2 linked regions of the Drosophila melanogaster genome follow. The protein of the gene in region 1 purifies or fractionates together with the protein of each later gene. This does not show direct contact. Each region holds a gene or a part of one and is shown on either strand. Other genes may lie near its edges.

Region 1 (6,758 bases):
TTAGCCATATTAAGTGGATATTATCGGGTTTTGTAGGCCCATTCACCGTCGCGACAGCCGAGTGATTGGACAATCTGGGTCTGGTGAGCGGCTCTGAAAATATGGCATATGATATATATCGCATTATCAAAATTCCTAATAATTGTATTTCAACCTTGATGCATGATCGGTGGAATTAGTTTGGACGGTGTTGGCTACAAAGCGTCGCCTTCCGGTCACGAAAATTGCAGTTACTCATTGACAAAATGCACTTAAATAAATATTGAAATGCCAGATTGCAGCATGCGATTCACATGAAGTTCCCAAATAATTGCCATGGCTGGATTTTATAAATGTAGATGGCATACCATTTTTATGGGAATCTCATCTCATGTTTTGTTCTAATTTGTCAGGGTTTGTTTAATGACATTTTTATTTATGTTGACAATGCGTGAATTTCATTTGATTTTTACTACTCTAATCGCTTTTGTCTAAGGAATTACGCATCCCACTTAAAAATGGGGGGAGCTATAAAATCCAAACTGGAATTTAAGCCATCTGACACATTGCTGAACCTGCATATCGATTCGGTATGCAAAATTCACGGATCCTCCCATTTTGCCGACGGCAAATAGTAAAAATGTAGCGAGATGTTTTTGTAAAGATTTTTCTTTTATTTGTTTTTTTTTCGTGGATTTTTTGTGGATTTTGTTTTTATTATTTCCAGGTGCTTGGCAATGTTTTGTTGGATTTGTTTGTTTTCGCTGCCTTGCGCCATGTTTCACAATCACGTTTGCACGCTGCTTCTTGGTTTGTTTTTACTAAATTTGCTTTAGGTTTACTAACATTTTCTCTGGTTGTGTTTGTATTATGCAGTAGATGCTTGCCTTCGATTCGATTTATGTTTTAATAATAATAATAATTTTGTTTTCGCTTTATTACAATTAATTATGGTTGTCTTGTCTGGTATTTGTAAGCATAATTAATAATTAAATTGTTTATATAATAGATAATAATTATAATTACTTAATGCATAAGAGAATTTATAAAATAGAATGTTTTTTGACATTTTTCTTTGCTTTTCTGAAATATTTTCATCGCCTCGCCACAACTGCCTTTACTCCTACTAAACTTGTGCTTGATTCCGCGTCCCGTTGCTCCCTTCAATTGAACGCACATTTAATGTCTGAGAATGTTTTGTACAGCAAAAGGTGAGTGGAAATGAAATGCTAAACCAAACGAATTTGTTGTTGTTGCCGTTGTCCCCGTAATTGGCAACAGTTTATTTGTATCACACAATTGTTTTAGCTATGCAACAAGCGGGAAATCAAGGGAAATCGAAGCAGAACGGTATGGAATGCAAGTGAGTTGTCATCTTACTATTGTGGTACAACAGTGCGTATGCATCATTTAAATGACTAAACATTAATCCTATTCTCATTTATTTATATGCGCATGTGTTACTCTGCCACTTCGAAATTCGAATTAAACCTGCTTAAGAACTAAGGCTAAAATTGTGTCTGTGTGTGTGTGGCTGTGGTTGTGGGCGTGGGTGTGCGTATCCTAGGGCTTTAGTTAATATTTTCAATAATTTACAATGTGGATATATCCAGGAGGCCAGCACTGGCAGCCACCGCTGCCTCGTGGCCAGGATGATAGTGATGGTACAGCTGGTGTTGCTGCTGCTGCGGGAGGTGCTGCAGCTGCTGCTGTTGCTGCTGCTGCTGCTGGTAGTGTTGCTGTTGCTGCTGCTGGTAGTGCAGGTGGTGGTGCTGCTGCTGCTCCTCGAGATGCTGCTGTTGCATGTCCAGCATGCTGGCCGAGGCGGCAAAGGAGCTGCCTGCAGCCGCAGCAGCAGCAACGGCAGCAGCAGTTGCCGCCGCAGCAGCAGCCGAAGTGGCGGAGGAGGTGGCAGCGGAGGGGGTCAGCTGGTAGGCGGCTGCCAAGGCGGGTGAATGCGCGGCGGTATGGCCACTGGAATGCGCCGAGGAGCGGCCGCCCGACGACCCCGATGCCGTCGGACTAGGCCGTCCGTTGAGCAACTGTTGCTGCTGTTGTTGCTGCTGCTGCTGTTGCTGCGGGGCCGTCGGCATGTACGGCGGCAGTGGAGGCGAAACGCTCACACTGGAGCCTGCTGCTCCATAGGCGCTGGCCATTTCTCACATGTGTGCCAGCGGCGCCATCGCCCTCAGCGATTGCTGATGCTGCAGGTGGTGTTGCTGCTGCTGCTGCTGCATGGTATGGTGTTGCTGCGGGATCTGTTGGTGCTGCTGCGAAAGGTGTTGCTGCGGGAGGTGCTGCTGCTGCTGTTGCATCGACTGGTGCTGCTGCTGCAGATCGGGCGAGTCAGTCTGATAGTGCAGCAGGTGGCGCTGCTCATCCGGCAGATGGTACATATTCATCAGGTGATTCAGCTCGCCGCCGCCGGCGGCTGCTGCCGCTGCTGCTGCTGCTGCTGCCGCCGCTGCAGAGCTGTATTCCCGCTTCATGATGTGATTGTTGTTGATGTTGTTGTTGTTGTTGAGCGCTATGGCACTGGGACTGGGCGACACCGGTTCGGACTTGATGCTCGAGTCGCTGGGGCTGTGGCTCTGGCAGGAAACCTGACCGCCACCGCCTCCACCTCCGCCGTACGGAGTCGGACTGCCGGGCTGCTGCTGCAAGCTACTGCCGCCATACGGCGACGGTGATCCGGGCTGCTGGAGACTGCTGCCGTACGGCGATGTCTGTCCGCCGGACACCGTCTGGTACATCGCATACCCGTTGTTGTACATGTGTCCCATGTCGTACCGCTGCGCCGCGTAGTGCTGGCCCATGTAGGAGGTCTGATAGGCTGCCGCTCCGGCCGGATCTGCGTGCATCATGTAGCCATTGGGCATGTATCCATTGGGCGCGTTCATCTGGTACATATCCTGGCGCGCCTGTTGCGCTGCCGCTGCTGCCGCCGCCGCTGCCGCTGCTGCACTGCCTCCACTACCGTTTAGCGACTGGTTCTGGCCAGGCTGACCTTGCACCCGCGTGGGCGTCACCGGCTCACCCGGTGCTCCGCCGCCCACCGTCTGTCCGGGCATCAGGCCGCCCATTGGGTACTTCTCCTTGGTCTTGGTCAGCGTTTTAGTCTTGCGGCGCGGCCGGTACTTGTAGTCCGGATGCTCCTTCATGTGCACCGCCCTCAGGCGCTTGGCCTCGTCGATGAACGGTCGCTTCTCCGATTCCGAGAGGTCCTTCCACTGGGCGCCCAGTCGCTTCGAGATCTCCGAGTTGTGCATCTTGGGGTTGTCCGAGGCCATCTTCCTCCGCTGGCCCCGTGACCAAACCATGAACGCATTCATAGGCCGCTTCACACGATCCGCGTGCTGTTGGTTCTTGTTGGCCGTGGCGCTGTTGTTGTTGTTGTTGCTGGATCCTCCAGTTAGGCTGCTCAATGCAGATCCCGCGCCCAGATGCTGCTGCTGCCCGTGCTGCTGCTGTTGCGTGTGCTGCTGGTGGCTGACCGGCGATGTCATGTGATGGCTTCCGATGCTGCTCTGGGTGGGACTCAATTCGCTGGAGCTGTGCAGCGGGGAGCTCTGCTGCTGCTGCTGTTGCTGCTGCTGCTGCCCCACCTGGCTGCCATTGAGGGTGTTCGCCATCGAGGACTGCAGCGAGCTCAGCGGATTGGGACTCTGGCTGGCCGCGATATGGGCGCTCATGTGGTGATGATGGTGGTTGTGATGGCTCAGCTGCGAGTGGGTCAGGTGCGACTGGCCCAGGTTCATAAGGGGAGCTAGGGCGGAGTACGGCGATGCCGCATGTCCGTGCAACGCGGCACTTGTGTGATGCGGCGGCATGGTGGCATGCAGCAGGCTGCCTTTCATATCCGATTCCATGGTCAGCATCTTGCGGGGATTACTTCCAGTTTTCGGTGCGATAAAGCTGATTTGACTCAAAGTTGGTTCTCCGTGGATACTCGCCTCTAAGATGCAGTTACTCTTTAGCTTTAGTTTACTCTTTGCTTAGTTAGACATTTTGAACATTTTTTGGGAAACCATGTTGCACTTGTGATTTTTGAGATTTTGATTTTCGCTGCAGTTTTTATTTCGTAGTTTTTCGTATCTTTACGCGTATCAAAAATGTGGCGCTCGGCTATCTTTGGATTTGTAGCTAAACAGCTTGAATTGCGTTTTTTCCACAGTCACAAATATCAGATATACATATATGTTGTTTGCTAGCAAACAAACAAGAGGCGGCGTAAAACACTTGAAAATTGTTGCTAAAACCCGACGCGAAATTGCCTCAGAATATTGTTGTTGTTTGTATTAGATTTTGTTGTAAATATATTTGGTTTGGTTTGGTTGTTGTTTTTTTTTTTCGTATGCGAGAAGCGGGAACACCGAAAAAATACCTCCACACTGGGCGGAATTGAGCACCTTTCTGTTTCTCCGGACGACGGCGAAACCTGTTCGAGGTGCGTTCTACGCTGCTTTTTCCCTGGCTGTATGATGACTTTTTTTTCTTTCTTTCGTATCACCGCTTTTTGGCTAGCTGATGACGAGGCACGAACCAGAACCACCGATGCGATGCGATGCGAAACGATACGGATACGATACGACACGAAACCGAATTCGAGACAGCGAACAACCGAGTTGATGTTGCTGCGTGATGTTGCTGCTGATGGCGTGCTGCGACTGCCGTGCGGTACGTTGCGTGCGCGTGTGCTGACGACGGCGAATGCGAGAGTCGAATGAGAGACCGTCTGCCGCTGGCCGCTCGAGGAGGCGGTAAATGCGGTGCGGTCCGCCAGACAGGGTGGCTGGAAAAACTGGTCTTGAGTCGCGAGTAGCTGTGTGTGCGTCGCTGCTGTCCAAGTGTGCGTCGGCATTTCCATTGCCCGTCGCCTGTGCGGGAGCGAGATGAATATACGAGTGGCTGGCCTGCTAATAAATCAAATAAACTCGCTGCTGTGCATGTGTGCATCTGTGTGCGGTGAGCGCTGGCTGGGTTGGATTTTGCGCACACTGCTCCGCCAATCAGAGGACGGTGAGAGCGGTACGAATGTATCTTTATCTCGTTCCGTCACTATATCGATCCGCGTTGCGCTCAACGCTGCCATAAAAATGTCGTCTCTGCGTTTATGGCAAGCGCTGTTGCCGCTTTTCCGCTGCCGAAAGAGACTCTGAAGGAATTTCTCGTATAAATTTCGAGCTTTAAACATGGCCGAAACGCTATGGACGGGGGGAGCTGGAGCGGGCCATGGGTACTCTCAACCCAGTCCAGGGATCCAGGGACCCAGGGGCCTTAGTGTTTGCGGCGTTTTCGCCGTTAGAGCGCGTCTCACGCGCATAGTTTTTCCTGGTTTCCTTTTTTATTTTTTTTTTTGGCCCTGCTATATGTACATACAAAAAGATATATAATATAGATATATATATATATATATGTATGTATAGTCACTCTGCGTCTTACGCTGCGCTTCTTATTAACCTAATGGGTTTGCCAAGGTAGCTCACGAATAATTGTGTAGGCAGGCAGTCGGCAGATGGAAAAATTTATTAAGCAAGTGCAGCTGCAAATGTATCCTGCTCTCGCGGTAGTCGGCAGTTGTATCTCAGAACTTTGATGCGGTTTGGCTTACACGTATCACGTATCCGCCACATGAGCCAGCCCGTCCTACGGCATTGTCTTAGGGCACCATCTGCCCCACCACGACACCCCCCTTTAATTTACCACCCCGCGATGAATGCGTTTTTCCTCAGCTGACTCTGGTATTCCGTTTTTTGGGTTGCCCATGAGTAAATGTTGGGCTCTTTTTTTTTGTGCGACTTTTAGCAGTGCAAAGTGATTGGATTGCAGTTCTCAGCTGGTGAGAACTACTCACCAACTTGCAGTGCAGGTGGAAGTCGATTAATTGAAGATTTTTTGCACACTCGAAGAGCAAAACCAAGATTTATGGGCTTTTCTAAAAGTTATATTAATTATAAATTGTGTGTTAAATAAAAAAAATACCATTGTGGCTAAAATAAAACATACTTTTGCATCCGTAAACTACGAATAATATAGAAGACCATTTTTGTTCTTGAATAAATAAAATACAAATTATATGAAAAACTGCATTTCCTCGATAAATAATATATATACATTTTCTCCCTTTAAAGCACAATCAAAATTTCTTTTGTACAACTCCTTAAGCATCGTCTCCAAATTTCCTGCAAAGTCATCAAACACTTGAATCGAGCTACTAACCCATTAAAAATGTATAATGCAAACAAAGCCGATATGTGGGCTCGTCGGCTTAATGAATTTATGGCCAATTGCTAAACATTTGACAATGGAGCGAAAACACTGGGGCAAGCGGGCACAATAATAAAGGCAAGACCGGCAAACAATGCAAAACCTGCCCCAGTAACTGACCTACAACAACGCAACATCATAACATCAAAAACAACAAGAACGCAAATCTTAACCGCAAAAAGTTGGCCAAAGAAAAGGAATAAGTCAAAGTCGTTGTTGATTCTATGGGGGCTATTGTGTAATTTCAAATACAAAATGCAGAAAAAGAAATACAATTCTGTTCGGTTCATTATCAATGTACTTGGCCTGCCTGTTTGTTTTGTTATTGTATGAGTACGAGTACAAGTACGAGGCATTGATTCTTTTGATGGGAAGACTGTTGCTCCGCAAAAAGTATTTTGCTGAAAATGGGAAAACAAGCCAAAACCCGAAAAACCAAACAGAACCAGACTTATACTCAGACTCATACTCGGATTGCGATTCTGATTCTGACTCCGATTCTGATTCGGATC
Region 2 (6,632 bases), on another chromosome or scaffold:
TGCCCGCCCTCATTATTACTTGTTGCAAATAGCGAGCAGCGAAGAGCGAACGTGCAGCAAGTCAAAGGCTATGGCAATTGCAATTGCAATCAACTTACTGCGTGCCCCAATCAAAGCGGCAGAAATTATGTGTGTATTTATGAGGCGGATGGATCAGCGGGTCTGGATTTGGATCGGGGTACGAATGTGGCCCCCAAGAAGCAGCGGCCTATCTCCTCCGGCAGCTCTGCGTGTTTGCCGTGCGCCCTGGACGATTGTTGCCACGCGAGTGCCTTCCCAAGTCCGAAGTCGGAGCCACTCGGACCCGCATTCTCGTTGCACTCGGGCTCAGTTTTCTCGGTGACTCGGTCGCGCCAGCCGATGGGCATGTGTGGATGTGCATATAGGGACTCGGCCCGTTTGGCAATGAACTTATTGGATGCGTTCTGCGCTGGCTGCGGTTCGCAGATTTGTTACCAAGCGGGCTGCCAACTCTAAAATGTATGCCCCCCAAGCGGTAGATTAAAAAATAAATGTGAAAAACATATATGTAAGCAGTCTACAAAAAAGTAATTTTATGTTTTTAAGACAAGAACTTAAAAGTCTTAGCATTAGTCAATTTCCTATGATATCTTATCTATTTATCATGCTTAAAAATATATAAAATAAACATATATTGTACATATATATATATTATTATACAAATTGAGTTCATATTTAAATACGATATGTAAGATTTGAAGAGTTTTCGAGCACCCTGTTCTATTCGCCTTTGATTTGATTGAAAGCTTATTAAAGCTCATCAGCTTATCAGCAAACGAAATCGAAGTTTGATGCACATAAAAGTGGTATTAAATTTCCAATAAAGGTAGACTGTTGATTTAAGTCAACCTTGAGCGGTAAATAAATAAACAGATTGGGAAAACATAATGCACATAATGCAAACGGTTTTGAGTAACTGCATTTGCATTTAATATGACCCCACATTTTCCCACAAAGCTATAAACAATATCATGATTAACGTATAATTTTTAATAGTAATAAACATCCGTACAGAGAAATTCAAAATGCATGTACAACAATGCATAGCATTGTTAATAATATATATTCTTAGGAGAATTAGACGCGCCCCACTAAATACAATCAGAAAATTACAGCCAATGTCAATAAATTTGAAAAAAAAAAAATAACATATCCTTGGGACGACTAAACTTGAAAACTCTTTTACATAGTCACCTAACCCTTTGTTAAAGATTGCCCACCCTACGATCAAACTCGTCCTTGTGCTCGTTCTTTAGATACTTCCGCATCCCGACGAGCATGTAGCGCACTTTGGGTGCGGACAGGACATCCAGGAGTATGGCCATCAGGGCCTGAAAGCTCTCATAGGTGCCATTCTTGTACTCCAGCAGCGCCTTGCCAAAGCGGCGGAATTGATCTTGGGTGACCAGGCTGCGTAGCTGCAATTCAAGGTAAATTAATTAGTAGTAGTAGTAGTAGTATGGAAGAAGTCTCGAAGGTATCTCACCTCCCGGAGAAACGCGGCCCTTTCCTCGGGTGCCTCCTTAGCCTGCGAACTACTTGGCTCCACCTTGATGTTCTCCACCAACTTGTATCGCTTTTTGGTCACCTGGCTGGAGGATTCCGGCGCCGTTGGTGAGCTTCGCTCCCGCTTGTGAATCTTCACCAGACCAGAGGAGCCACTTTTACTATCTGTGCAGCAGTTGAAATCGATACTCTGGGAAAGGGGCAAAACAAGAACAAGTCCTAAAGAACTAAATAAACACAGTGTAATAATAGATTCATGGGAATCTCGTGTTTACCGAGACATTTGAGTCCAGTCGACTCATAAAGTCCATGGCATTCGGCGCCGCACCACCCAATTTATGTCCAGCGGCACTCGCATAATCGGCGGGTGTCCATGTCTTGATGGAATTGGCCATCTCCACTTTGCTACAAAGAAAAATAATAAATATTTCAAAGTGTCAATACCAGGAGAAAGGCAAACGAAAGTTTATTTACCCTGGCAGTGATGACAAAAGGCCACTGGAAATGGCTTACAGCATTTCACTTTAGCTATGACAAATCTCAAAAATTGTACTCAAGACTACTTAAATCCGATTAAGGATTTGCTATTAATAATTGTAATACAATCTATACAGCTGATAAGGTTGATCTTAGATCGCAGGTTACGTACATTGCGGATTCATTGGCTGATTTGAAGGTGGCATTGGAGCCAGGCTCCCGTTTCACTTTTGGAATGGCGGCTAGTGGTTCATCCTCTGTCTTGCAGACGGTTTCCAAAGGCGAATCGGTTTCCCTTTCATCCGGTAGTTTCATCTGAAGTTTTGAAAGAATTGTATTACAATTGCTGAAAAACGCATAAACATCATGAGCTTACATTCGCTTCGGCGTTCTTAAAGAACTGACGCAGTTCCCGGACGATAGGACCAAAGGGTGAGCACTGTGGCCGGTCGCCCAGGTGACCCCGAATCCATTTGGATAGCTGCTGGACCTGTGAGGCGTCCTTAAATCGCGAGTCGCAAAGCAGAATGGCACCATAATCGTTGCGATGCCGAATCACACGACCGATGGCTTGATTGACTGCCCTCGTGGCATCTAGATTGTACCATTCCTGCCCACTTAACAGCTGATTCTCACGAGTCCGATTCGCCTCCAGGTAGCGACGTTTCAGTATCACCTTGGGATCCTTTAGCGGTGGGAATGGCAGACCAGTAATAATCACCGCGCGGCCATTGCGATCAGCAAAGTCCAGACCTTCGGAGACTTTGCCGCGACAAACAGCCATGAATACGGCACCCTTGGAGTCGCGTATCGCCTGGTAGAACTCTTCCATCGTGCTGGTGAACTGGTCCTTGCTGCGCGGCTCCAGAAAAATCGGTTTCTTGCACGATATGTCCGCCCACAAACCACTGGCCTGCCACGCGTCCACGCACTTGTTCAACATGGGATACGATGGGAAAAAGACAAGGAGGCCGTCGGGCACTATACGCGCTACATTCAGAATCGTCTGTCCCAGGGAGCTGATGTACTTTGGATTATCACTGCAGAAGAACAAAGGTGGCAGATAAAACATGTTTGTTTAGTTTGTATAACATTAAGAAATTGATACGTTGGCATTTCGTAATGTTATGAGATAGTTCACCTGCCACAGAACTGAGTTATGTTTGGCCCAACTTGTTTATTTACTCATGGTATTGGCCATAAACAAATAAGCTTGTGGTGTGAAAAATGCTTACCGGTTCGCATAGTTCGATATCAGTTGCTGCCGATCGGGTCCGGTGCCGATGATCTTGACATAAACCTGCGACTGGTCGACGATGTGCGGATTCTCCAGATGCTGGGCCACCGGAATGGCAAGCTCGGCGATTAGCGGCTTGAGGGGAGCTAGTGTGCCGCTGGTCAGGATTACGCTGCGCACTTGGGTGTTGAGCAGTTGCTCCATTCCGAAGCCAGGATTGAAGCACCAGAAGTTAATGATTTTTGCGACCTTGCTTAAGCCAGTCGCTGCTGCAATCGTTCCCTTGCCAAGCCAACCGCCCTGCTGTTTAGCACCCTGCTGCTTACCGTGTCCCTGCTTGGACTCCTCCACCAGGACATGCACTTTGAAGCTTGCGTACACCTTGCTCATCACATCCTCCTTGTTGGCAAACACAATGGTCAGTAGATCGCTAAGCAACGTGAAGGTGCCGCCCTTGCGGATGCTCATCTGCTGGGAGGCCACTAGGAGGTATTGCACCAGTTTGTCCAGCAGGGATACTATCGTTGCAACGTTGCCGTAGGTGAACTACAATAAAGGAAGTTACATTTTTAAATAGGCATTCTTTTAAAAACATTTCCGATAAGATTTAGTGCATCTTACATTCGCCTTGCCAAGCAGTTCGTACATCATGGAGGCGGGAAAGGTAGTTCCATCGACGGCGTTGTCCACAACGATGGCATCGATGGCCTTTTCGAGCTCGAGCAGCATCTCCTTGAGCAGTGTAAGGTCGTCCAGTGTGAAGTCCTTTGGCTCATCTCCAGCCATATCCTGCGACTCGCCGCTCGCAAAGACTTGCATGATATGCGTGACGTCCTCGATGGCCATGGCCACATCAGAGGACTTAATCTGCACCGAAGCGGACTCCTCGCAGATCTTCTCGATGTTGTGGGCCTCATCCAGGATCACAATAGTGTTGCCCAGTTCGATTTTGTTGGCCTTGCGAGCCTTGGGATCGAGTAGATAATTGTAGGGCATGAAGGTGATATCCGCCTGGGGAACCAACTCCCGAGACGCGAAGTAGGGACAGATCTTGAGTCGCTGGCCCACCTTGACCAGGTCCTCAATGTCCATGATGGTGGGTCCGCGCAAATCGGGATGATCCTTTCGCGACTCAACGCGCATTTGAAATGAACAGGTCTTGGAGTGCACCCGTAGCTTGCACATGTTGGTCTTGTTGGAGTTGCCCTGCTCCCGCATGACCTCCGGATGAATGCATAGCTGATCGCGGGAGCCCAGAACCACGGATCTCATGTTAGCGTACGCTGTCCTCTTGAGTTCCCGCATCGCCTGCGTCAATTGGGAGTGGGTGCGCGAGGCGTAGATGACCTTGGGCACGCCCCAGTTATTCGCACGACCCATGGTCTTGGCCAGCTCGGACAGGTCTCCCCCAGGTGCTCCGCCTCCAAGACCCGAAAAATCTGCCTTCTCCATCTTAACCATCTGCTTTTGGTGCTCCGATTGCCTGGTGCGGATCCAGGCCAAGGATGAGCACAGCAAGCTTAGGGTCTTGCCCGTGCCGGTTGGCGATTCCAGGACTCCATTCGTGCCATCGCGGAGACAATGGATCACCTTCTCCATGTACGCCCGTTGAACCGGGTACGGCTCGAACGGAAAGTGCACCGGAATGCCGGCGATCAGGCTCTCCGGCATTATTCTTAATAATACTATTTATTTACTTGTTTACGCGCCAAATCGGAGTGAACATGTGTTCGTTGGTCGATAACAATAAATGTCTGTGTAGGTGGTCAGTTATCGCTATCGATAGAGTACAGTGGACCCTGATTAAGTAATTTTATAGCGTTATCTTGAACTCCGAGTCAAATGTTTACAACTTGCATGTCAAACCCTGCGTAGTTTATTTTAAACGTAATAGTAGTACTAATCACCACCCAAAGTGCTGCAATCGTGTTTATGGTACCTTATGGATAATAGTAACTGAAACTTATAAACTTATTAGCATTGGAGGGAATACTGTAGTTGTGATTCTGTTTATTTGGATCAAAGATTAACGATATAACATTTTAAGTGAATGTTATGGATTATACCAAACTAATGAACTAATGGCATTCAAGATTAAATGTGCAGCATACATATAAATCCCCTAACAAGGTAAGTAAATATTTGACATCAATTATTACAAACTCAGTTAATTCAACCACAAATCCATTTATCGTGACCCCTTCGCTCGGCTTTTCCGAATCGCCGCGATACGGCCCCACTGATTTGGCGCTTCTCGGCCACACCAAAAAAACACAGAACGGCATCAAATCATTCGAACTTTGAGAACGGTAGTGTTGTGTTGTTATTGCTCGGCAGCAAAGTAAAATCCGAAGAGAAGCGAGTCGAACAAGAGAAGAAGAAGCGCAGGAGTGGACGACAGCAATGCAACAACAGTGACGAGGCGCCAGTGTGCAAAAGTATGTGTGCGAGTGCGTGTAAGCAACAACTCCCCGATACAAACCTACGAGCGAGAGGGGGACGGCGATAGCGACGGTCGTTCGGTCGGTCGGTCCGACCGCTAGTCGCGTCTGTCGGTCGTTCTCGCCTATGCACCTCGGCGGCAGAGCGAAAGAGAGCGCACTCTGGCTGTGTGTGTGCGTGTGTGTTCTCGCTCTCTCGCGCGGTGGTGATAAATTTCTGTTGGCACAAAGTAAAAATATAACAGAATAAAAAATCGTGGCGCGGCATATAGAAGCTAATCGAAAATTATTGCGAGTATTGGGTGGAGGAGAAACATTCCTCTTCTTGTGAGTGCGTTTTTGTTTTAGTTATTCTTTTTTTTTTTTTTTTTGGCCGGAAACTCTCACTCGAAGATGCTGCCGGTGTAGTTGTGTATGAATGTTGTACCATTTTTTTTTTTTTTGAGATAGAAAATTTAGATCTAAAATATTAACCATGCGATCCTTAGAATCGCACTTTTAAAATATGTCCACACATTTTCAAATTCGAAAGCTTTGGCGGGCTGTCGATGGGCGGGCGCTTGCAACTCTGGCGATAACGATTACCGTGCCGATAACGCGGCTGCACTAATCAGCATTATCACATGCAAATTAAGGTCATCCAAATGAAAAATGACCACCAATCAAAGGCCCTGCACCCCTTTGCCGCCCCCCATTTATGCGAAACAACTAGAAAAAGTGTGTTTATTTCTTCACCGTTTTTCGAGCTCTGACAACCCTGCCGCTGCTGCATAAGTGAATTCCGACAAAGAGCCGTGTCATTTTGTTGGCCAAAACATCGCTGCGCCGAGATTAATTAGACGGAAAAAACTCGATTACTTGAAGTGCTCGGCCCTATATCGTTTTGGTTTAAACGTGTGTGTGAGCTTTGTGGATTGCCATCAAACACAATAGGCCGACTCGTCCCCCGC

What was found.
Region 2: the proteins of SoxN (region 1) and Rtel1 purify together in Drosophila melanogaster (affinity purification with mass spectrometry, with the first as the bait; one large-scale study listed by BioGRID). This does not show direct contact.

Annotation. Positions count from the first base shown.
Region 1 is NT_033779.5:8,823,593-8,830,350, reverse strand, and holds SoxN (SoxNeuro), read right to left. Parts: upstream 4,707-6,758; 5' UTR 3,858-4,706; coding exon 2,139-3,857; coding exon of another isoform or gene 1,572-2,138; 3' UTR 681-1,571; downstream 1-680.
Region 2 is NC_004354.4:5,746,149-5,752,780, reverse strand, and holds Rtel1 (regulator of telomere elongation helicase 1), read right to left. Parts: upstream 5,035-6,632; 5' UTR 4,913-5,034; coding exon 3,863-4,912; intron 3,788-3,862; coding exon 3,240-3,787; intron 3,045-3,239; coding exon 2,381-3,044; intron 2,320-2,380; coding exon 2,177-2,319; intron 1,933-2,176; coding exon 1,803-1,932; intron 1,718-1,802; coding exon 1,508-1,717; intron 1,440-1,507; coding exon 1,227-1,439; 3' UTR 704-1,226; downstream 1-703. UniProt on the Drosophila melanogaster protein: A probable ATP-dependent DNA helicase implicated in DNA repair and the maintenance of genomic stability. Acts as an anti-recombinase to counteract toxic recombination and limit crossover during meiosis.